Linked DNA regions of Arabidopsis thaliana. The protein of the gene in region 2 purifies or fractionates together with the protein of the main gene of each other region. This does not show direct contact. Each region holds a gene or a part of one and is shown on either strand. Other genes may lie near its edges. The genes, in order: AXS2, AT3G62510 and AXS1.

Evidence for each region.
Region 1: the proteins of AT3G62510 (region 2) and AXS2 fractionate together in Arabidopsis thaliana (co-fractionation; one large-scale study listed by BioGRID). This does not show direct contact.
Region 3: the proteins of AT3G62510 (region 2) and AXS1 fractionate together in Arabidopsis thaliana (co-fractionation; one large-scale study listed by BioGRID). This does not show direct contact.

The regions. Positions count from the first base shown.
Region 1 is NC_003070.9:2,571,507-2,580,351, forward strand, and holds AXS2 (UDP-D-apiose/UDP-D-xylose synthase 2), read right to left. Parts: upstream 5,339-8,845; 5' UTR 5,104-5,338; coding exon 4,828-5,103; intron 4,681-4,827; coding exon 4,588-4,680; intron 4,464-4,587; coding exon 4,356-4,463; intron 3,891-4,355; coding exon 3,776-3,890; intron 3,695-3,775; coding exon 3,561-3,694; intron 3,472-3,560; coding exon 3,370-3,471; intron 3,274-3,369; coding exon 3,181-3,273; intron 3,088-3,180; coding exon 2,952-3,087; intron 2,866-2,951; coding exon 2,753-2,865; 3' UTR 2,312-2,752; downstream 1-2,311. Other genes in the region: VPS41 (vacuolar protein sorting 41), read left to right, coding at 78-155, 244-363, 492-572, 686-771, 990-1,071, 1,160-1,636; AT1G08210 (Eukaryotic aspartyl protease family protein), read right to left, coding at 5,613-5,773, 5,851-5,922, 6,004-6,070, 6,358-6,451, 6,534-6,607, 6,809-6,971, 7,359-7,586, 7,928-8,172 and 2 more. UniProt on the Arabidopsis thaliana protein: Together with AXS1, catalyzes the conversion of UDP-D-glucuronate into a mixture of UDP-D-apiose (UDP-Api) as the main product and UDP-D-xylose to a lesser extent, via a cycle of oxidation and reduction.
Region 2 is NC_003074.8:23,119,546-23,126,130, reverse strand, and holds AT3G62510 (disulfide isomerase-like protein), read right to left. Parts: upstream 3,301-6,585; 5' UTR 3,279-3,300; exon of another isoform or gene 2,943-3,278; intron 2,796-2,942; 5' UTR 2,794-2,795; coding exon 2,671-2,793; intron 2,576-2,670; coding exon 2,357-2,575; 3' UTR 2,340-2,356; downstream 1-2,339. Other genes in the region: AT3G62500 (F-box protein RMF), read right to left, coding at 3,643-3,661, 3,765-3,851, 3,937-4,002, 4,090-4,159, 4,257-4,364, 4,464-4,634, 4,747-4,779, 4,854-4,970 and 1 more; AT3G62499 (YTH family protein), read right to left, coding at 5,982-6,212.
Region 3 is NC_003071.7:11,861,966-11,870,317, forward strand, and holds AXS1 (UDP-D-apiose/UDP-D-xylose synthase 1), read right to left. Parts: upstream 5,034-8,352; 5' UTR 4,879-5,033; coding exon 4,603-4,878; intron 4,445-4,602; coding exon 4,352-4,444; intron 4,251-4,351; coding exon 4,143-4,250; intron 3,864-4,142; coding exon 3,749-3,863; intron 3,674-3,748; coding exon 3,540-3,673; intron 3,452-3,539; coding exon 3,350-3,451; intron 3,241-3,349; coding exon 3,148-3,240; intron 3,059-3,147; coding exon 2,923-3,058; intron 2,832-2,922; coding exon 2,719-2,831; 3' UTR 2,312-2,718; downstream 1-2,311. Other genes in the region: HDT4 (histone deacetylase-related / HD-like protein), read left to right, coding at 120-132, 577-647, 740-960, 1,073-1,092, 1,177-1,212, 1,306-1,364, 1,456-1,597, 1,693-1,742. UniProt on the Arabidopsis thaliana protein: Together with AXS2, catalyzes the conversion of UDP-D-glucuronate into a mixture of UDP-D-apiose (UDP-Api) as the main product and UDP-D-xylose to a lesser extent, via a cycle of oxidation and reduction.

The DNA.
Region 1 (8,845 bases), on a different chromosome or scaffold from region 2:
CTTGATATATGGAATGAATTTTTCCATTCTCTTTCTCTTTTGCTTAAATATTTTCTTAAAATGATTACATATTGTAGGTAGAACTCTATGCAGAATACGATACTAAGATGCTGCTTCCGTTCCTACGTAGCAGTCAACATTACAAGTTAGAAAAGGTACTTAACATTACAAGCAACCCAGCTTACTGAAATGAACTATCTCTGGGTTATGTCTTTGTGAACTTGATCTATTGCAATATCTCAGGCATATGAACTTTGTGTCAAGAAAGATTTTTTAAGAGAGCAAGTGTTTGTCCTGGGAAGGATGGGAAATGCAAAACAAGCTCTTGCAGTCATCATAAATAAACTGGGAGATATAGAAGAGGTGATTGTTACTGTGTGTTCAGTAACTGCTCTTTTTTCCGCAACCCCTTGTACACTCTAATTGATGTCTTTCTGACTGGTAATTAATAAAACAAGCTATGGTGGTTGACTTTGATTGATATTCTGCAGGCTGTGGAATTTGTGTCCATGCAGCACGATGATGATCTATGGGAAGAGCTGATTAAACAATGTCTAAACAAGCCTGAGATGGTAAAAGCTGTATTTGTGATGCAAATCACAACACAAACCAGTCTTGATTCTGGGAAACTTGTGTCCATGTAGTACTGTTTCCTTAATCTTCTGTTCTTTTCCACCAATTTTAGGTGGGCTTGCTGTTGGAGCACACAGTTGGCAACCTCGACCCTCTTTACATTGTAAATATGGTCCCAAATGGCTTGGAAATACCTCGGTTAGTTTTAACTATTACCCCTCATTGCTGTTACTCTATTCATGAGTTGGTTCAATCACGTGTTCTTACTTAAATAAACATCGACCCTCATCTATGTGATGCCAAACCTGTTGGTTTACCCAAAGCTAAGTTCGCACACAGAGCATTGGCAGAATCATATGCTTCCTGAACACTTTTCATCAAAATAATGTTCTCCTCATTGTTTCTTCTGCTTTCAGATTAAGGGATCGATTGGTCAAAATCGTAACAGATTACAGAACTGAGACATCTCTTAGACACGGTTGCAATGACATTCTCAAGGTACAAATTTAATGTCACCAATGTCCCTCTAATCATATATATCTGGAACAGACTCCAGGGAATTTGACGTGTGGGGGTTGTTGTACAGACGGATATTGTTAATCTTCTGGTCAAATGCTTCAACGAGGCTAGGCGTGGGGTCTGCCTGAGCCATGAAGACGACGATTCCCGTGCGAAGAGAGAAGACAATAATCGCTCATCATTCTCGCAGAGAATGGTAGTAGATAAATCTTTGAGCATAAAGATGACAGAAGTGAAGTCGAAGACACGGGGGGACACACGGTGTTGTATGTGCTTCGACCCGGTCTCGATAAGAGGGGACACTGTAGTGGTCTTCTTCTGCTGCCATGCTTACCACGAGACGTGCCTCATGGATGCAGCCTTCAGTAACAACAATCACAAGACAACCAAAGGTTCTTCGGGGTATGAATATAGCTACGATAACGGTGTGGATGAGGAGGAAGAGGATGAGGAAGAAGATGAGGATGGTGATGGAGACAGACCTGGGCGGTCGCGTTTACGGTGCATATTATGTACTACTGCCGCCGCTGCGTCCGCTCGGTAGCGACCCCTTTTGTGCATGTGTTTGTGAAGTATTTTTGGTGTGCTTCGAACATATATATATTTTTTTTTAAAGAAGAAAATGTTCATTGTTTGTTCTGTAGTTCTCTAAAATATAGCAAAAAGAGAAAGGCGAGAGATGGAGAAAACATGTGTGCCAGAATTTGTGCCTTTGTATTATTTCCCGATGAGTGGCCAAGTGTTACGATTGAATTGACTTTGAGTTTTTTACAAAGGCCAAGTTTGTTTCTCTTCCTTCTCTTTACGCTTAGTTTCTAAGCCCATACCTGAAACATTTACATTTTTTTTTTTGGCTCCTCTGTCCTCGATCTACAAAAAAATCGTCATTTCCGATAATTCCATTTTCAGTGTACTGCTTCTTGTTGTTTGTCGTTTAGCAGAGAGTAAAATATATGTGACAGCTCTCTTGTTCTTTGATCTTATGATCTTATTTTTGTTTTGGTCGGCGATCTTGTCATCTTTTTTTTTTTTTTTTAAATACATGATAGCTAATTCACCGTTTCCTATGAGTACGTTTTTTTTCTGAAATATAGATTGGGAAACAAATTTTGTAAATAATTTTCTATAAGTGTATGAGCACCTATGCTCTGTTTTTCTTCTTGAGCTGTAATGCTCTGTTTTTGTAGTACTATTTTATTCTATGTTTCTAATAAAAATGTTTAGACGGCAAAAAAAAAAGACAGACCTTAGGCATTTCTAATTAAGGTATATATTCACATAACACAGCAACACGAGCAAAAGCCAAACTAACTCGTTTATTACAACCAGGCAGATATAGAAGTGAAGTGTGGAATCCGCCAAAGATATGTAACATATAAAGAAAGCCCCAATGTTATAGTTTGCACAAACCATTCCCTTTTTAGTTTCGGACAAATACAAGATATAAAGCTTCAAAACAAAGGAATTCAAAAACATTAACAGTAATACTATATAACAAGGAAAACGTAAACTAGAATCAACCACCATGATATATCATTTGTTTAGAATGGCCTAAAATAAGGGAAGAGAAGGTTTCTGTTGGGAGAATTTTTTTTTTAAAAAGAAAGAATGGAATCGTAGCCACCACATGATTTGAGGTGTTTGTAAAGAGAGACGACCTCTAAGATGCGACTGGTTTTGAAGTGGCCTTCTTAATGGCTTCCGCATAAGTCGTGTGCTGGTATGTTAAGGTCGATTCAAGCAAGTCCCAAAGCGACGTCTTCGGGTTCCATCCTAATTATTGTCCACACCAGAGTATTTATTAGAAAAACATTGTGACTGTTAGAAAAGACTAATCAGACAAGAAAAGAGGAAGTTACCAAGTTGACGGTTGATGATGGTCATGTCTGGGATTCTCTTGTCGCTGTCATCATAACCTTCTCCATAAAACTCTTTGGAGCTCACGTCGATCGTTGGACTCTCGATAGCTGTCTCTCCACTCACTTTGGCGTAGACCTGTCCATTTTTTGTTTTGCAACATTTGAGCGTGTGCTATAATAGTTTTATCGAAAATCACTCAGATTCTTATCTATGACCAATTTTTCTCACCTCAGTCATCATTTCAGCAAGTTGTCTCACTGTCACTTCATTGTTTGGGTTGCCTACATTGAAGATATGCCCATTGGCTCTCTCTGGATTTTCCTGGTAAAGAATTCCGCAAGCAATTCAGATGCAACTTCTTTAATAATATAAAAACAAACGATATATCACCAGGGATAAGCAATGAATGAAACTCACGATCATCAAAAGGACAGCTTCGATAGCATCTTTGATGTAGATGAAGGTTCTCTGTGATTCTCCACCATCCACAAGCTTGAGAGGCTCCCGTCGCAGAAGATTCTGAAAATACCCACCAAAAAGTTAAACAAAAAAGTTAAGCTGCAGCCATGAGAAGAACTCAGGTCATTGGACTAAGCCTGTATACTTACGTTACTAAAGCACGCTAGAACCCGTGGGACACCCTCGCTAGGACCATCAATGCCAGGGATGAAATCCATCCTAGGTCCAATCCAGTTGAATGGTCTTACAATGGTGAACTCGAGTCCATTCTCAGCACCCTCAGCTGCAACCAGAAAAAAGTGACGTGAGAAACTTTTTTGTGTCTAGAAACAAAAAATTTCTTTCGTGTAAGAAAACTACATACCGTAAACAAGTCTCTCAATAAGTTGCTTTGCACAAGCATATGACCACCTCTGCTTCTCAATTGAACCAAAGATGCAAGGGGATATATCTTCTTTGAGTACATAAAATTCAGGATCCTGTAGTAAACAAGACGAGCATCATTGGTGAGTAGTGAAATAATAACAAAACACAGAGACAAAAGTAGTAATAAGAACCACGTGACACGAACGAATATCTACTTGACATAAGAAAGTAAGGCAAAAAGTAAAACAAAAGACTCTCATGCAGTAGTTAGGGCTCAAAGCCATACTCAGGTAATTGCAGGAAAACAAACTACATTTTCTCGATATTACAAACACTATTAAAGTGGATAGTGATAGGCTTATTATAACAAGTTTACGTTACTCTTTAGATCAGTAAACAAGACTTCATATAACAACAATAACTGCATTAGTATATAAATTTCCGTATCAATCTTAAGTGAGTGTGCCAATGTACATAATTAACATAGTTTCCTGATCCTCTTGATAACGACAATCAGCAAAAAGTGATGCATAAGACAAATGAAATGATCAGAGTGAAAAAGGGAGAAAAATACTGACCTGACGCAGAGGATGATCCTTTGGAAGAAAGCTTCCTATAGTTTTTCCATACACTTCACAAGTGGAAAAGTGAATCAGACGCTTGTTGTTCTCTGAGCAGTATTTAACCTACATACCAAAACCAATGACCACTCAATGTCACAACTAAAATCCGTATCACATAAAAATATTCCTCAAACTTACAAAATTGCTCCACTAAACCAAACAAACTGCAAAAGCATAAAATACATACCACTGGGAGAGCATCAATGAAATTGCTGTAGATAGTGTCAAGAGGACGCGTATTGTAATCTGCTGGAGTACAGATCGCAGCTAGATTTATCGTCTGCAAAATCCAAAACAACAACAACAGATTAATTAAACAAGACATCCACAATTCGAAATTCGATTTCACATAACGAATCAGATCTGAGTCTTCACATTCAACATTTTCACATTAACGATTTACTAAGAAGAAACGAAGAACAAATACCAGATCTGCCATCTTGATCAGTCCTTCAAGTCTAGAATCATGCTTAATGTTGATACGATGAAACTGGATCCGACCAGCCCATTGAACGGTATCAGGCTCAAGCAAGTGCTTGATCTTATCATTGTAAACATCAAGCGCAAGAACCTTGTGAGGAGTCTCCGTCATAAGCTTCTCACAGAGATGAGAGCCAATGAAACCTCCGGCACCGATCATGCATATCGTCATCGGCTTAATCGGTTTACCGTCCAGATCCAATCTATCGGCTCCGTTCGCCATATTTTGATTGTGTCGGTGAACACGCGTGATCTCTCTCACGCTTCTACAGAGATAACAATGGGTGGAAGAGAGATTTGTGAGAATGGGAGAAAAGAAAGAAAGAAATGAGAGATGGATATTTAAAGGCGTATAATAATGTTCCCTACACTCTCACAGCCTTGCACATTACTCCCACCACGTGAAATTAATGTTTTCGTTACGTGTCATATTCTCTCTTAAGTCAATTATTATGAATCTGCTGATTGTTCACGTGAAATCTATTTTAAAACTAGTAGATTACAACTACAGTATATAGTTTCAATTTTTTTTTGGGTATGTTTGTTGCTTTACACCGACATGTAAAATTGTGCTAATTCGTCGGTGGCCTTAGTGGTAGATAGGAGGTTGATTAAACAGAGAAACGAGAGAAGTGGTGGGTGGGTAAGTAAGAATTAATTAGTGTGATTAAATTACAATAATATAAGCTTACAAAGTCCAACCATAATTGGTGGAGTGAATGCTAAAAGCTACTACAAGAAACGAGCAAAAAGGTGGACAAGGAAGACTACTAGTTGTAACAAGTAATAACTTCTATTAAAACTCTCCGAACCGCTTTCTCTCCATTGTCCTGTGTTTATAACGTCTTTGCTTCGTCCTCCTCTTGATGCTGAAACATTCACCTCCAGAGAACCTGGAATGGAATTTCATTATCTGCATTTGTATTCCAATTTCGTTATTGCTCTGTGGTAAAATAGATAACACACTCACAGTCGTATTCTGCCCATCCAATACGTTGGCGAACTAGATCGTAGACCACCACTTTGTCTTTAAGAACCAAATCTGCAAAGCAATCACTCATTGAGAAAAATAGCTGCACTGTTACAGTTTCACTTGATTGAGTTAACAAACAAGAGTAGTTACCACCAAGAATTGTTATACGACGATGAGACATTCTCTGGAAACCAATGCACCATATTGAACTTCCTGACTGAAATAGCAAAAGAAAAATTATCATATCAAATTTTTCAAACTGTAAACCTTAAGAGAAATCCACACCCAAAACAATCTGTTGAGACATCCTTATAAACCCAACGTCCCAGCCCTCACTAACGGCTCGCTTACAAACCCCTAACACCTCTAATCTGCTAGATACAGTCTTAGGCTAGATATAGTAGACGTATAGCTAAGAGTTGAGCAGCTAAACTTTTTCAAAGCTTATCATTGACACACTAAAAGACAATTTATGAAGTAGTGTAAGTGTATGAATATGCTTACACTAGAAAAAATCTGAAGATATGCACGGGGTCCTAAGACCATTGATGCACCACCAGCAAAGCTCAAACTAACTTGGGGAAAGACATCAACGTCACTGCAACATGGAGATCTTTTTAGCACTTAAGCATAGGAGATAATAGCTTCTTATATATACATACACATGAGAAGAACTTTACCCAGCTGTGATTTCAAAGCATTGGTAACTCTCATAGGTAATGGGACGCCCGTACTGCGAAACAGCATTTGCAACCTGCAGGTTGAACGTTTTATAAATCTTCTTTTTTGTAAGGTCTAATAACATATATCGTCTACATCGAATTGTAATTTCATTCCAAAAATGTAACATTTGAGGACAGATACTTTCAACAATGGCAAAAACTACTGAATATGGTATACACGGTTTGGTGACTGAAAAAGCTGAAGGTGAACTGAGGAAGAAAAAAACACTCACAGCTTGGATGAATGGACTATAAGCTTCGTCGGGAAGATAAGCAAGAGTCGTTCCCGTATCAATTATCGTTCCATCACCAGTGGCTATTGTGAAAACAGATGGATCAATCGGTAATATCTGACCGTTCACAGCAATGCTCTGCAGGTTCACATTATAATGTGGCCTGAAATATTTTTTTGCAGCATATTATCTGAATCAAGACGTGGGTTTATATATTTTGATTTTCCTAACCCAAGATATACGAACTGCATATTATTTCCATAGAGTCAGCTACAAAATGTCTATTTCTGGATCATATGATTCCTACAAGCAGAATGATATAGCAGATATTGTAACAACTCTCGCATTTATATCTGTGTAAATGACTTTCATAATCATCAGTTAAACCCTGGATCTACCTCCTTGTCTTATACAAAAATAAATCTAGGAATCCTACCCTAACATTGAAGTCTGATTCATCATGATGTTAAGTACCCCAAAATCTACCTGTGCTTCTCTTTACGTAATATGATAAGAGTTTAAATGTATAATAGAAAGATTGAGAACTCACTGTGATGGAACAAGAGGAGTATAGACGGTATCTGGCCTCTTGATTTGACCTAGAACCATTATACCTCCACCGCTTTTATCTCCCTTCAGACAATGCGAGAATACTCGTGGCGCGAGTCCTTGCACAGCAAGCTGAGAAATTACTGATAAACTCCCTTGTCCTAACCCAAAGATGCCATCTACTGCTCTTCTAGGCCTCTGTAAATCTCCAGATTGTAAATTGCTACACCTGTTAGCAATATTGAAGACAAGCATCACATATTTTGAAAGTTGAAACAGTACAGAAAAGATGATTTGGAAGTTAGATCATATTGTACTTCCTGGTAGATGTTAATTACTTAAACATAAAACTAATGAGTGTATTTGATAGGCAGAAATATTGTTTCTCATTTGGCCAACATTTTCTCCCCCCCGAAGATGCAGTCATTAGTTAAATTTAGAGAAGGCAATGCACCATACTAAAGAAATCATCATTATCGAAAGGGGATTCCAAATGCAAGATAAAACCTATGGGATATGTACATATATATAAACCCCACGTAAATACACAATTCTTTGCTGTTAGCTTACCCAAAAACAAAGGGAGCAGAGGAATTTATAGCCAAGGTACTGGTAATAACAGTATCAAAGGACATGAAATCTGAGATGTAGTAACCAGAAGTGCCACTTCCATCACCGTACTTAAACGAATAGGAACAGAGATTGTTGGGAGAACAGCCTGATTCTGTCTGGAAATTTGAGTAACATCTCCTGTCTGAACATGAAACTAATGAAGCTGAGGATGACACTCCAGGATCAAAGAAACTTAGTTGAATCTGAAAATCCAAAAAAAAAAAACACAAAATACAGGGAAAACAAGTGATCATTTAGACAAATCATAAAGCTAAAACCAAGACCATGAGGAAAATGTTTTAAAAGCTAATATGCTATAGAGGAAAGTTAGCAAGAAACATACTTGGAGTTCGCTAGTCTTGGGGCAGCCATTGCAGGAAGTGCAGCTAACCCACAAAACATCACTTCCAGTGTCAATTTGAACATTAAATTCTCTTGGTGGTGTCCCAAGTTTAACCTTTGTGTAGTAAAGCCTGTAAATAACAGCAAGATTCTATAAATAGGAATGGGAACAAGAGTCAAATATCTCTAAATTCGTAATTGAACACATGATGAGACAACAGTCTAGAAGGTTCATTTATTTATAATCCAAAATGTTCCCTGATGAAAAACTGCGTCGAATATTGAAGACAAAATCGAATCGCATTACTCAGCCTAACCAGAAACAAATTGGTTAACGACTTAATTCAATTCAATTTTGTTGGGCGAAAAAGTTTTCAAATCCAAGTCCAGAGACAATTCCATGGTTCGAAAAAAGTGAATATTCTATTTTGTACTTTGGAAACCAAAAAATAGAAAGAAAAATTCGAAAATCGGAATCGAAAAAATGCATAAGGAAATGGATAACAACAGTAGTAGTACCCGACGAGAAACGGA
Region 2 (6,585 bases):
ACACTTCCTCTTGTTATCTTCTCAACCTCCACCCAACGCTTAAATGATTCCAGCCTTGAATTAGAAGTCCTCACATATTTTACAGCATTACGAACACTTACGATGCTATTACTTATATCTTCAAGACCTTCATTGGCAATCAAGTTAAGAATGTGTGCACCACAACGTATGTGCATAAAATCACCATTCATCATCAAAGCATCACTATTTCTGTTACTTAGCCTCTCTTTCAAAACAGTATTAGCTTTATCATTGGCGCTTGCGTTATCCACAGTGATAGAAAATACTTTCTCAATACCCCAATCATCCAAAGATCTTAAAAACTGATTGGCGATGGTCTTTCCCTTATGATCAGGAATAGGACTAAAACTAATAATTCTTCTATGCAATTGCCAATCCATGTCAATAAAATGAGCAGTAACGACCATATAACTCAATGTCGTAATAGAAGTCCATATGTCAGTGGTAAACGACATGGCCTGCCTATTACGACTTAAAATAGTCTTCAATGCAGTTTTTTCAGCTCTGTACAGACCAACAACATCCCTAGTAATTGTTCTTCGCGATGGAATAGTAAACCAAGGGACAGCCATCTCACAAAAATGTTTAAACCCATCATTCTCCACAAAAGAAAACGACAACTCGTCCATGATAATCATTTTCACCGTTGCTTGCCTACACACGTTTTGATCAAAAGGTTTTATCATGCCAGCACCATTACCACCACCACTAGAGACTATGACATTCTGAGAATTAGATTCAAGATGATCCAAATAAGCTTTGCACTTTCTCATGTGTGTGTTCATATTGCTGGTTCCACATGTAGCAGGATTACATGAATAGATTTTACCACAATAATTGCATGAGCAACTATTATCATCATCTTTCAACCTCGTAAAGACTTTCCATGCTGTTGATCTTGTAGGTAGTTTTCTTTTTGCCTTTGGCGACACTGTTGGAGACTCGGGTTCTTTTCTTTTATTGCTAGTCGTGTTTCTTTTAGACATCTACAAACAAAACATGTATAAAATTGTTAGTCAATTGAAAGAATACAATTACGTTTCTATTAAAACATCTTTCATTATTAGTAAACTAAATAAACATGTATGATCTGTTTTCTTGCACGAAAATCCATTGATTATTGGTATGAATGCTAAAATATATTATATATATTGTAAACAAACAAAATCACCCAACCTACATGAAACCTATTCTTAAAAATTAAAAAATCTAAGTAAATAGAAGAAACAAGACAACGCAAACACAGATTTTTCTTTTCCATGACTTTGCGGTGTACGTACAGATTGAAAAAATCATCATATACTCATAATATTTAACTAAAATTGAGATGAGCGTAATTGTATTGCTAGAGAGTAGTTAAAAATCATACCGTGGCTGTAGAGAGTAGAGAGAGACGACGGAAGAACAAATGAAACGAAGTTAGAAGTAAACCTTAGGTTTTTACTTTTTAGGGTTAGAGTTTTAGTTAGAGATAAATAAATATTTAGAGTTATTTGTAATATTATTTATAGAATTAATTAATTAAGTATATAAAGACATTGGGTTGTCGGTTCGGTTTGGTTCAAAACCGAACCGAACCGACCCATTTGGGTTGAGATAAAATACAACCGAATTGTTTGAGTCTTAGATTGGGTTTGGTTTGGATCGGTTTGAGTTCGGTTGAGTCGGGTCGGTTCGGTTCGGTTCGGTTAAAATGCCCAGGCCTAAGATTTTGCTCTTATATAAGAGACAAAATACACTCTTAAAAAAAAAAAACTCTTATCAAAACTCTTAACTTCAAAATAAATTATAAAATTATTGTTAAGAACATTTGCTAAAAGCCCACCAATGTGGATGCTCTTATATCTTCATCATTGTTTTCTTTGTTTGCATGGCGTTTACTTTAGATATGCTACTTACTACTCATAAATTCTTTCCGGTCAAACGAAGCCAATGGCTTTTCCCATGTCCTCTCATAACAGCTTTCAGTTCGGGATCAGTCTCTGCATTGTACAACTCATATCCGGTAAAAGTCCATGGACTCACTATTCTCAAGCTGAGACGAATTCAAGAATTACAATTTTTTCTCGAAACCCTTCTCCAACTCTGTACACTCAACGTCATTACTCTCTTCCTATACACAGGCGAAACAGAGTCCTATGTAACCACACAAAACAGAGTTTAAATCAAATTAAGCAATATAACCCACGAATCAAGTGAGACAGCAAAATGAGATAAAATATCTGCAATCTAGAAATTCAGGAGATTGATAGATCAAACTACTTAAACATTGCTAATCCACAACCACAAACTAATGTAATAATGATTGTTTTGATTCAGTTTTTGGAAGCTTTAACTAATCCATCTTTTCGTGTTCTTCCTCATCATCTTCTGCTAGTATCACCAACCCTGAACTATGAAGTCTTCCTTTGTCCTGTCTCCTTCGTATACTACAACGTTTCCGCTCGCTGACCTGAACTATGTCGTCAAGGCTCTCGGCGACAACAAGCTTCACTGGTTCGTTGTTCTCAGCTGGAATAGGTTGAGAATTTTTGTGGACAGCAGCTTTTCCATCCTAGAGAAAACATTTTCTTTGGTTAGGTTATATTGATTTCATATATACTTCTTTTACATAAAGCTTGTGTGAATGTGTGAAAAAGAGAATGAAACCTGGAAGTCCTTGACCCATGATTCAATCTGGTCAACCTCAACCTCGACCATATTCATCACCATTGATGAAATCAATATCATAAGTATTGACATCTTTATCACCATTGTTATAGTTCTCCTCATCTCTGCAAAAACTCTCTAAACGAAAACAGAGTAAGAAGATAGTTGACGAACACACTGCTTTTGTACTTTGTATTAGAAAACAAGCTTAAATTAGGGAAGCTGCGGCAAAACCCTTAAATTAAGAACCACTAAGCAATAGAGGGTTTAGCTCTAATCAGTTTCAAATATAACATCCTTCAAAACCAGTAAAGGATTCATTGTTTACTAAACCCAAATCTAGCATTCAACAAAATCCAGTAAAAGACTCCTCTTTAATCCATTCCAAACCCACAAAAGACAAATCTAACACTGAACAAAGACCAATGTAGTTTTCACCTTAAATCAGTTAAAGAGCCTACCATTCTGACGAAATCAATAAACCACAAATTTGGAGACTAGTCATTTAGATAAAACTGATACTCTTCTACATATACAGATACATATAGTATCAAAGTCTTCATGCAAAGCCATTTTTCTAGAGGTAGCATTGTGTCTTTCACTCTTACGCTATCTAGTATCTACAGCCTGTATGCCGTTCCCATTCACTTGGTGACTGCTTCCTTGACCCACATGAACCACACTTGCACTCAATTCTGAAACAATAGTTCAAAGATTAATGTGTTGGTCAAATCTCTAAAACAACAAGACAATGATAACAGAAACCTAGGATTAAACACGGATTTTTTATCGTTTTCAGAGAAAAAATCAATTTACGATATTGTGCTGCATAGTCATAATTCATAAACAAATAAGATCCTTTCTAAATGAAGAAATTGAAATAAGGCTGAGACATCTAATACGTACGCATGAAATGCTCTGATATATGTTCCTTCCATGCCATTACAGACTACATTAATCTCATCAGGCAGCTCAGTCTGTGTCGCCTTTTCTGTAGACCAATCCCAAAGAGGTTGTGAGGAAATCTCGCATATTATAGCAATGGAGAAATGCAAACAATAAAATCAGGAGAACATGAGAAGTTAACAATATACTTGAACACTGAGTTCTGTTCTTCTAATATTGATAAGCTCATGCTGGACTTTACAGTTAGGGCAATAGTAACTGTTGTGCTCCAGTTCCTTAAGATGATAACCAAATTAGTGTGATAGTTCAACAAGCGTGTTCATTACTTAGAATCAAAAGTTAAGATGCATGAAGGTGTACCTTAAAGCGCTTATATAAATTATTGTCGCACCCATACGGCCATACATCACACTCATCACAATAAACCTAATACATCAAATCAAGTCAGCTAAATAGATGTAATCATTTCTTACAGGTCTGTATTTCACCAAACATGGTCACATATATTCTCACCCAATCTCCATCATTTGAAGGGCTGCCATACTCTCTTGCAAATGCCACAATACTGATTGGATTTCCGCAACTGAAACAACAAATTTGGATTCAATTCCTTTTGGCAAGAGAATTATTTGTAATTGTGTTTTCTAGATAAAGATGGTTGATGATGCAAAGTTATATACCTTCGTTTTCTCGCAATCTTGTGTGAACAGCAACTGCATGGGGTGCGATAACTGCTTTAGGTTGGGAAATATCTGGCTGTCCGGTCCAAGACTTGAGGTTGAGAATACCTATTATAGAGGTTTCATGTGAAATTTGTATGAGACAAAGGAGAATGATTCAAAGAGGAGAAGTAAAGGAACATAACAGTAATGAAGATTTGAAGTTACCTGAGGATGAAGATTCTTTATGGTGTTTGAGGTCAAATATGGCTCCACAAGCTGCACTTGCGTTTTTCTGCAACTTATGAGATCCAATCAGATTGTAGTCCCAGCTTCCATCTTTGTAGCCTTCACTAAGGAAGAGTTCAATGTGCCTAGCATCAAGAGTTTGCATTGTTCCTACATAGTAAAACAGAAACACTCTTAGTTGCAATTTAGTTATTGCAAGAGATCAATACAAAAGTTTCAGCAACAGATTAGAGTTGATTAGTGTCTTTTACCTCACAGGTACTGAGGTCACAAACAGGTCGCACAAGCTGTAAATCTGGAAAATGAGATAAGCCATATGTTACAGTTTTTCCTGCAGTTGACAAAGTTTCTGAAGATCATGAATAAGACATTTTTGTAACATCCGTTCTATGGTTCCTTCCTTTGGGACTTTCAGGCGACCACTCAAACTCTCAGTCAGGAGTGAAGTTCGAGAATCAAGCACAAAGGCACCAATCGGCATCCAATCTATAATTACAGTGTAAAAAAAACAGATAAAGATGAGGCTGTGATCAGCAAATGAAGTACTTCAAAGTCAAAGATCTGTACAATACATCTATATTTAACACGACTTTTTGACAATTGACAATTTTTTTCCATTTAGAGTACCCAAAAAACATGACACGTATTGCGCCAGGGACGCAATGTTTCAAGACCCCATCAGGCGCTTGTACCACAGCCGGCCCAGACAAGATCGCCGACTGTAAATTCCTCTGGTTTGTACACGCCCTTACGCGAGGCGTCGGACTTTTTCGGCATACCAAAGTTAGCATCCCAGTAATCGCAATCTACTTCGCTGCTGTCTTCGTTATCCTTACGTGGAAACAGCTTCGGGTCTTTGCTTCGATGCAATTTCGAGCTTCCCCAGATACATGTCTCCGTCGACTCTTCCTTGCGACTCTTCAAGGATTTCCATGTACCAACAATGGAGTCCCTGAACCTTGAAGGAACCGCTCGAACTCTGCCACGCGAAGACTTGGACTGGTCAGAGCACACTTGTTGAGATTCTTCTCTACTGGTCAAGGAGCTTGAGCTACTTGTTAGAACTCCGGGTTCTCTGCTACATGGTTGATCAACGCTTGCTCGTTGTCTCTTCTTATACACCATAATCTCACCCTTTTGGCTACCATACTCAATTTCTAAATCAATTTTGCACCGCTTCAGATTCAGATTATCGAATGTCGTCAAAATCCGTTTCAAAATCATGTCCTATCTCAGCTATTATCGCGTAGTCAACATAAACGACTATTCAAATTCCGATTCCAAACCCCTAATTTCATTAAACAAAACAGATTCGCACTTCGGACCTCCGGGAAACAAAAACTCGCAACGTTTCAATTCCTTTAGCAAATTGGCTCAATAGACAACAAACCCAATGCGAAACCGCTTCTTCAACCCTAAATTCGAAAACGAAAACCAAATTCTCGTTCTCTCAGAGGATAGAATTAAGAAATCAAACGACAGAGAAATCGTAAAACTCTAACACGCAGGAGAAACAAACCAAATCCTCCTCGTAAATTCCTTGGAGAAATTATCAGTGCTTTCACTACGGAGAAGATAAAACCTTAAAATCGACGGCGAAGGAAGACAAAAGAGGAGGAGAAAGATATTGTGTTCTGATGAGGGAAGACTGTGAATTTTCAGGCCTACAAAAGTAGTTGTAGGCGCCAAGTCGAAAACTTCCTTTTCATCAAATCCGACGTCGCGCATCAATTGAACAATTCTCTCTCTTTTCTTCTTTAAAAAAAAAAATTAAAAAAGCTTCTTAGGCTATATATTGTGCCTAAGTTGTTTCTTTTATTAATTGGGTTTATATCACGGAACCTTTGTTTATCTAATAATTCTCATTTTTTTTTTAATAAAATTTAAAATTTACTCGAAAAAACTATGGTACATCAGATGCAACGTTTTCGTTTAGAGATTTTTTAGATACAAAAAATCAAAGATAGAAAAAAAAGAATTAACAAAATAAGATTCAAAAAGAAAGGAACGTCATTAACGAGTGCAAATTCTCATCTTTACAATTCTGCAAGTTGAAAATTTTAAATTCATGTAGTCTTTGTTGTCAATATTCATATGATAT
Region 3 (8,352 bases), on a different chromosome or scaffold from region 2:
AAGGAGTAGTAAGAGTAACCTTATAAATAAGCCGCTCCATTATTTTTGTTTGTTTGAAACAAACTCTAAAACCCTAAATTCTTCTTCTCAAGCAGCCACATCTTCCTCTTTCACTAGCTATGGAGTTTTGGGGTATGTCTCTCTCAAAATCATATCTTTATTAAGTTCTACTGAATACCTCAATGACTCCTATTGACTGTTTTCGCCATTAAAGTTAATCATTTTGGTATTCCTAAGTTCGTTCTGTGATTAAAAATCTGGTCTTTATACAAAAGCTTGCCTTTCTTCTGTATTGAATTCTCTCTATTACTCAATACGCATTTTCTTGTGTTCAAAACTATACAATTGTTTGGGAATATTAGCATTCTTAGTGTTTAGGTTTCAATGCATCTATCTTTGTGAGGTTATGTTTCAAAGTATCTATCTTTAAGAGTTTATGTTTCAAAGCATCTATCTTTGTGAGTTTAGGTGTCAAAGTATCTATATCTTTGTGAGTTTAGGTGTCAAAGCATCTATCTTTGTGAGATTTTGTATGAATTTGTACTCAAATGTGTGATGAATAATGTTCAATTTTAGGTATCGAGATTAAGCCAGGGAAGCCATTTAAGGTGATACAAAAAGATGGATTCATGGTCCATGCCTCTCAGGTCTGTATCAGTTTTGTAATTCCTGCAAGTTTCTCTCTTTGTGTAAATCCATGATTGATATTGATTGTGTTACTTGTTGTAACATCTCTTAGGTTACCCTTGGTGACGTTGAGAAGGTTAAAAAAGATGAGACTTTTGCCGTTTATGTGAAGATTGGTGATGATGAGAATGGGTTTATGATTGGAAATCTCTCACAGAAGTTTCCTCAATTTTCTATTGATCTCTACTTAGGGCACGAGTTTGAGATTTCTCACAACAGTACAAGCAGTGTCTATCTTATTGGTTACAGGACCTTTGATGCTTTTGACGAACTATATCCTTTCTTTCATTGTCTTTTTCTAGTTAAATTCATACTCACTTGCAATTTTGAAGCTTTGTTTGTTTATCCTTGATTTTGTTTTGCTCTGCTTTTTTCTGATGCTCACGGATGAGGAGATTGATTCTGGTGAGTTTATAATTCTTTAGTTGATGATTTGGTTTACTCTATTATGAAGCTTGAAGCTAATCTTTTGCTTTTTGGTTTGTGTAGATTCTGAGTTAGATGAATATATGGAACAACAAATTGGTATGTTTACTTTTTTTACTAAGCTACTGCTTTGTGGTAGTCATATTTACATGTGTATCTCTTATGAAATCTAACTTTGACATTGTTGAAAAGCTGCTTTGCCTCAAAATGAGATCAATCCTGAAGAAGATGATGAATCCGACTCAGATGAGGTAGATTTTTCTTTTAAGTATTTACTGATTAGCAATGAATCAGTATAAAAAAAAAGGTAATCTTGTTGTTTTTTTCTGTATGTTTGGTTAGATGGGTTTGGACGAGGATGATGACTCTTCAGATGAAGAAGATGTAGAGGCTGAAGCACCTTTAAAGGTGGCTCCTCCGAGCAAAAAGATGCCAAATGGTGCATTTGAGATAGCTAAAGGTGGAAAGAAGAACAAGTCATCAGGTAACGAAAACTAAAGTTAAGATATATAAAGATAACTTTGCATATGAGATGAGAATTGTGGATTATTGATTTGGTTTAAAACCATTTTGGTGCAGGAGGGAAGAAGAGATGCCCATTCCCTTGTGGTCCCTCTTGCAAAAAGTAGAAGATATTTGCACACCAAGTCACATTTTTCCAATAGAAATTTTTACTTGACTGTATTGGTGAATCGTTGAGTGACTTATGAGGCTTTTGGCATCTTAAAATTTTTGGATTATTATAATATATGTTATGTTGTCATTTTGGAGTGTTAATGGGTTTAAATGAAATATGATTTTTGCTCTTTTCAAGTTCATAAAATTTCGAAGTTGCTGGCTGATTCATGATAAGTACTATACAATGTCGATATGTTATGATCTAATCTTGATCGCAATACTAAGTAGATGGAGTATATTAAATCAGAAATAGTTGAACTAGAATATGCTCTAACAATGTATTTTATGTACATGAGTTAGAAAGAAAGAAAAAAAGACTCATTTTCTTCTAGTTTGCTTTGCCTTCATTGAATTAAAAATTCAGTGAAAACAATTCAAAATATAAAAATAATGATAATGCGTCTGCCGGGAGTCGAACCCGGGTCTATTGCTTGGAAGGCAATTATCCTAACCGTTGGACTACAGACGCTACTTGTGATTTATATATTACAATTTAAAAATAAAATCGAATTTAATTGTCGAGCGTTCCAAAACTACTAGACTTTCTTTCATACTCTGTAGTCCACTTGTTTTTTTTCTGAACGAAACACAATGTGTTACTTGACAGAAGATAATTACATTTGTTCTTGTACTTGTACACATGTAAAACGAAGCATTTTAAAATATACACTCGAACATTTATCATTCGCTACAAACGATTAACCTCTTGCTTTCTGACAGCTCCGACATACATGGCCAAACAAACCAAACAAAAAGAGAAAACTTACAAACGAAAAGGTATACTTGGAACGAACCACCGTGATTATATCGTTTTCTTAAAAAGAAAAAAGAAAAAAAGTTTTCTCTGGGATGAAAAAAATAGAATCGAATAGAGTAAAATGCCAAAATGACGCGTGTTTAACGAGTTTCGTTGGGGTCTTGGAGAGTTTAGGAAGCCACTGGTTTGGATGTTGCCTTCTTCACAGCTTCAGCGTATGTCCTGTGCTGGTAGGTTAAGGTCGACTCGAGCAAGTCCCATAGCGATGTTTTCGGGTTCCATCCTATTTTCAAAGTCCAAAATTCTATCAGAATAGCAATTGATTTTGATTTTAAAGCATATTATCTATCATGTTGGTGATTATGAAGAATTACCGAGTTGGCGGTTAATGATGGTCATGTCTGGGATTCTCTTGTCACTGTCATCATAACCTTCCCCGTAAAACTCTTTGGAGCTAACATCAACCGTTGGGCTCTCAATGGCTCCTTCTCCACTCACTTTTGCGTAAACCTGAAACATGATTCGTTTTGAGAATTGAGAACCAGCGACAGAGAAATCAAACTATTTTCATAGTTTCCTAACTGATCCATCTTCCTCACCTCGGTCATCATTTCAGCGAGCTGTCTTACTGTAACTTCGTTGTTCGGGTTGCCTACGTTGAAGATGTGCCCATTTGCCCTCTCTGGGTTTTCCTGAACCACAAACATACAATGTCATTATAGGTTTTAGTTGAAACTACTTCGAACTTCTAACATTAACAGTTTGTAAACAAAAAGCTATATATCAGGCAATGGAACGTACAATCATCAAAAGGACAGCTTCAATAGCATCATTGATGTAGACGAAAGTTCTCTGTGATTCTCCACCATCTACAAGCTTGAGAGGCTCACGACGTAGAAGATTCTGAAAGATAGATAGAGATGCATTAACTAAAAGCTTGCATATATACACAGACTAGCATTGGGTTATATACTTGGATTTGAACACTTACGTTACTAAAGCAGGCAAGGACACGTGGGACACCTTCGCTAGGACCATCAATGCCGGGGATGAAATCCATCCTAGGTCCAATCCAGTTAAAAGGTCGTACGATGGTGAACTCAAGCCCATTCTCAGCACCCTCAGCTGTCACAAGAAACAAGTGAAGTTAAGTGTAAACCTTTTGTTTTTACCAACATCATCTTAAACAGAAATGCTTACCGTAAACAAGTCTCTCAATCAGTTGCTTTGCACACGCATATGACCACCTCTGCTTCTCAATTGAACCAAATATGCAAGGGGAAATATCTTCTTTAAGAACATAGAAAGCAGGATCCTGTAGAAAGGCACAACAAACAACATCAGTAAACAGTGAACCCAACCTTAGACGAATAATATCAACTATTCCAAGCTTCTATGGGTGTGTGATAGACTAGCGGACTAAAGTCTTAATTCAATTCAAAAATACGTTTAACGAGATCCAATGAGTAATTCATAATGTGGCTATTAAAACGAACGAAAACGTCAGCTTCAACATGTTCCTCAGTACATTCATCGATGAGATTGATAAAAAGACAATAACATGTGGAAAGCGAAATGTACAAAAAGGCATTACATCACGCAGAGGATGATCCTTAGGAAGAAAGCTTCCAATGGTTTTTCCATAAACTTCACAGGTAGAAAAGTGAATGAGACGCTTGTTGTTCTCAGAACAGTATTTCACCTAACAAAACCAACGCATTACACAATCATCACTGTCTCCATCAACTTCAAAAACAAGAGCTAAAGCAAAACAATGAACGAAGCTAAGAAGAAAACACATACAACTGGAAGCGCATCAATGAAATTGCTGTAGATAGTATCAAGAGGACGTGTATTGTAATCAGCTGGAGTACAGATCGCAGCAAGATTTATAATCTGCGAATCCAAAAAGAAACATCAGAATTACATCACAACATCACCGATCTCAATACATTGCGAAACATCTGAATTCCGATAACGAATCAGATCTGAGACTTCTATCATAAACACCGAAGAACAAGAGATCAAAAAACGAAATCGATAAGCATTTTTACCAGATCCGCCATCTTAACAAGACCTTCAAGTCTCGAATCATGCTTAATATTGATACGATGAAACTGGATCCGACCACTCCATTCAACGGTATCAGGCTCAAGCAAGTGTTTGATCTTATCGTTGTAAACATCGAGCGCAAGCACCTTATGTGGCGTCTCGGTCAAGAGCTTTTCACAGAGATGTGAACCGATGAAACCTCCGGCGCCGATCATGCATATTGTCAACGGTTGTATCGGTTTCCCGTCGAGATCCACTCTATTAGCTCCATTCGCCATTTTTTTTCTCAGATCAGAAAAAATAATCAAGTTCTCTGTAGAGAGAGAATCTAAAGAGGAAGAGAGAGTGGTGACGGTGGATATTTAAGAGAGAAGATGCATCGCATGTGAACGGAGGCAAATTGGTTCGTCGAATTTTGAAATCTCACTCTCTGTATCGGCGCGTGGTGTGTACTCGCTTCCACGTGATCTCGTTTAAATTGGAAAGGATGCGATATTTTATTTGTTCGACTAATCATTTTGTATGATTATTAATTATGAATGTTTAGTAGTCTAATAATTGTGTTTAAGAGTTAAGAAAAAACTTCTTTTTAACTAGATAAATCGTTCTTTGTAACTTTCGATTTTTTTTTTTGGGTAAGCCAAGGGAGACAAAGTCTCCCAAGATTTATTAATGAAAAAGAAAATTACATTCGCACTTGACGTGAAACCGTAGCTCCACTAGTGTCATCCAACAAAATAAAACGTAAAGAATCCGGAACCAAACTAAGAGAATGAAAACCTAATGGTAACGAAAATGCATAGTTGGCTAACCCGTCAGCAAGACGGTTAGCTTCCCTATAAACGTGTGAAATACGGACTCTCCAGTCCCTTGATATGAAGTCATGGCACAATCGTACCAGGAAAGACAGCGGATGTACCTCGTTTATCCCTATCTTCAAAAAACCCACAACAATCTCTGAGTCCACCTCAATCTCTAACCGTGTGACTCGTCGCTCCCAAGCAATGTAGAGGCCATAGTACACTCCCCATAGCTCTGCCAAAGGTGCTGAACAAACTCCAATGTTCAGAGCAAAACCTCCTCTCCAAGCTCCTTCCTCATCTCGTAGCACACCACCAGCAGACGCTAAACCCGGATTACCTCTGGAAGCCCCATCCGTATTAAGTTTCCACCAACCTTCCTCGGGTTTCGACCACGCGATCAGTCTTTCCACCCGTTCTCCATGACCCCCACTCAGTGTCCTGACTATCACATGAGCCATGGACGTCTCCCTAGCCAGATCCTTTAAGAAACGCACCCGATCTCGACATTTGTCTTGAACACCAAAAATGTTGCCACACCGCCATTTCCAGGCCCACCAAATAGACAAAGCAAATAAAGTTGACCAAGTACTCTCACAAGTCTTCCGCCTATCACCCAGATTAGCAAACAACCACTCCAATAACGATTGTGTAAAGAACTCTCGGCGCTTACCCGCAGGAACTAAGCGGATCCAAATGCCTTCCATAGCAGGACAATCACGAAGAATATGTATGATTGTTTTTTCAGCTCCTTTACAGATTTGGCAAATGTCCGAATCACTTAGATGCCTCCTCCTCCTCTCAGCATTCGTCATCAGAACTTGCTGCATTCCAAGCCATAGGAAGAGCCGCACTCTCTCCGGTACCACGACTTCCCATACTCTCTTGTAATTTCCGATTGATATCAAGTCAAATTATTAATTTTTATATTGAAAAGACATTTGGAGTATTTTTTTTGGGTTATTATTTCTGATAAAATCAAATTTACATTGAGAAGAATGGCTTTGGGGAATCAATACAAAAAGTCTTTTCTACGTAGAAGAAAACTTGACCCAGCAACATTAGAGATTCCATTTTGCATTACGAAACTTAAACTGGTTAGGAAATAATTTAATTATTTGCCCAAAAAGGGAAATAATTTAAACAAAATATGATTTTATTGACGTTATTTTAATTAAGCTTCAGTCTTAACTCTTAACTCTTAAGTAGTTTCTTAAATAGTGTGTCAAAAAAAAAAGTAAGTTTCTTAATACTGCTTCTAATTTGCATGTCGTAGTATCAGAAGTTTTTTCAACAAAAAAATCATTATGAAGAGAGTTTATATGAATATCGCTAACCATTATGTGGAATTGTGGATAATGGATAAATTTTGAGAACTAATTGGATTCATGTGTTGCCTCACAGTGAGCTGACGACCGTTCGATCATTGATATACATACACATATGATGAAAAAAAGATGCTAATTTCTCGTTGCTTTTTTTTTTTGGTCTTTTCAAAAAAGGATTGAGACAAAAAAAGAAGAGAAAAAATGATGAATAATTAGGTACCTTTCCGAGAAGCAAAACCCTCGAAACTCTCATCAAATATCCTAACCATACCTTTCTTTAAAATTTGGATTTTGCACAAATCCATTTACAAATTTAATTACTTTTTCTTTTCGTAGGTATATATTTATTTATACCTTTATAAATATATAACTTTATAGGAAGAAGTATCGTATAGTACTACTTCCTACTCGCTATACAATAAATAATACAATGCGAGGTTGTTTGTTTCTTATCACAAAGTTGTACCCTATGCAACAACATTCATATAATCATCCTTTTCCCGAGCATTTTGACTGATCAATGCTTCAGTGCTTCTTCATTATCATACAACACGTTCCAACCAAACTTGAATCATGTATTTTTCCCAAATCCCAAGTTACACCTAAATGATACCAAAGATTACAAATACAACTAAACATACTCCTAGTTTTTTCTTATGGAAAAGGAAAATTAAGAACACTAGTTAGATGCAAACAAATAAAAGGAGAAAACAATAAAAATATATATATATATATATGAGTGTCCGAATCGAACGAACTGAATAATGTGGAATAAGTTTGATTCGGGATAGGTTTTGTTTTCTGAATAATCTGCAAAACTGACAAACCGAAATCGAATAAACCGGTCGGCTCAAAGTCTCAGGTTTAGATATAGCCCAAATATGATTGCAAATCACTTAAAAGTTATACGGACACCACTATTTGATCAACATAAAACCATGTTCTACAATAAAGATTTAAGAATTTTAAAAATGGGTTGGATTGGCCTGAAACTGGATTGGAAAAATTGGTATTTCTTCCTTTAACTAAATGGCACACGATCAATTTCTAATTTCTCCAAAAATACCATTTCTTTTGGTATTACTAGGTACTAGCCCATGAAGATAAAAGAATTCATTTTACTTTATTTCATTCTAGTATATTTCTTGAACAATTCTAATGCAATTTCAATGTCTTGACTATACTCTTGATCCTCCAATCGAATCCACAAGATTTTCTACCAAAACCGCTTTACGACTTACACCTCAATCGTAACCATCCATGAACTTAATTCGGCCAAAATCGATTATTCTATTTGGCACGTTATGTTATGGACTGTTCATATACGTACCACGTTCCAAACTCGTTTGTATCTAAAAAGGAAAAATTATCTCACATTAGTGATTTTTTTTTACTTGCATCAACTCTATTACTATATACTAATATATATTACCATTACCATTTTGAACGCGTTACATAGACATTATTTAGTCATTAGTCAAATCCCTTTACTATATAATCCCATTTGAAATGTAAGAATTTTGAATGTTGACAGATGCAAATAAGGATTAGCATACAAAATTACTTTGTAACCCTTATTTACGTGATAAAAAAGTTTAGCCTATCGTTCCACTATTAAAAACAT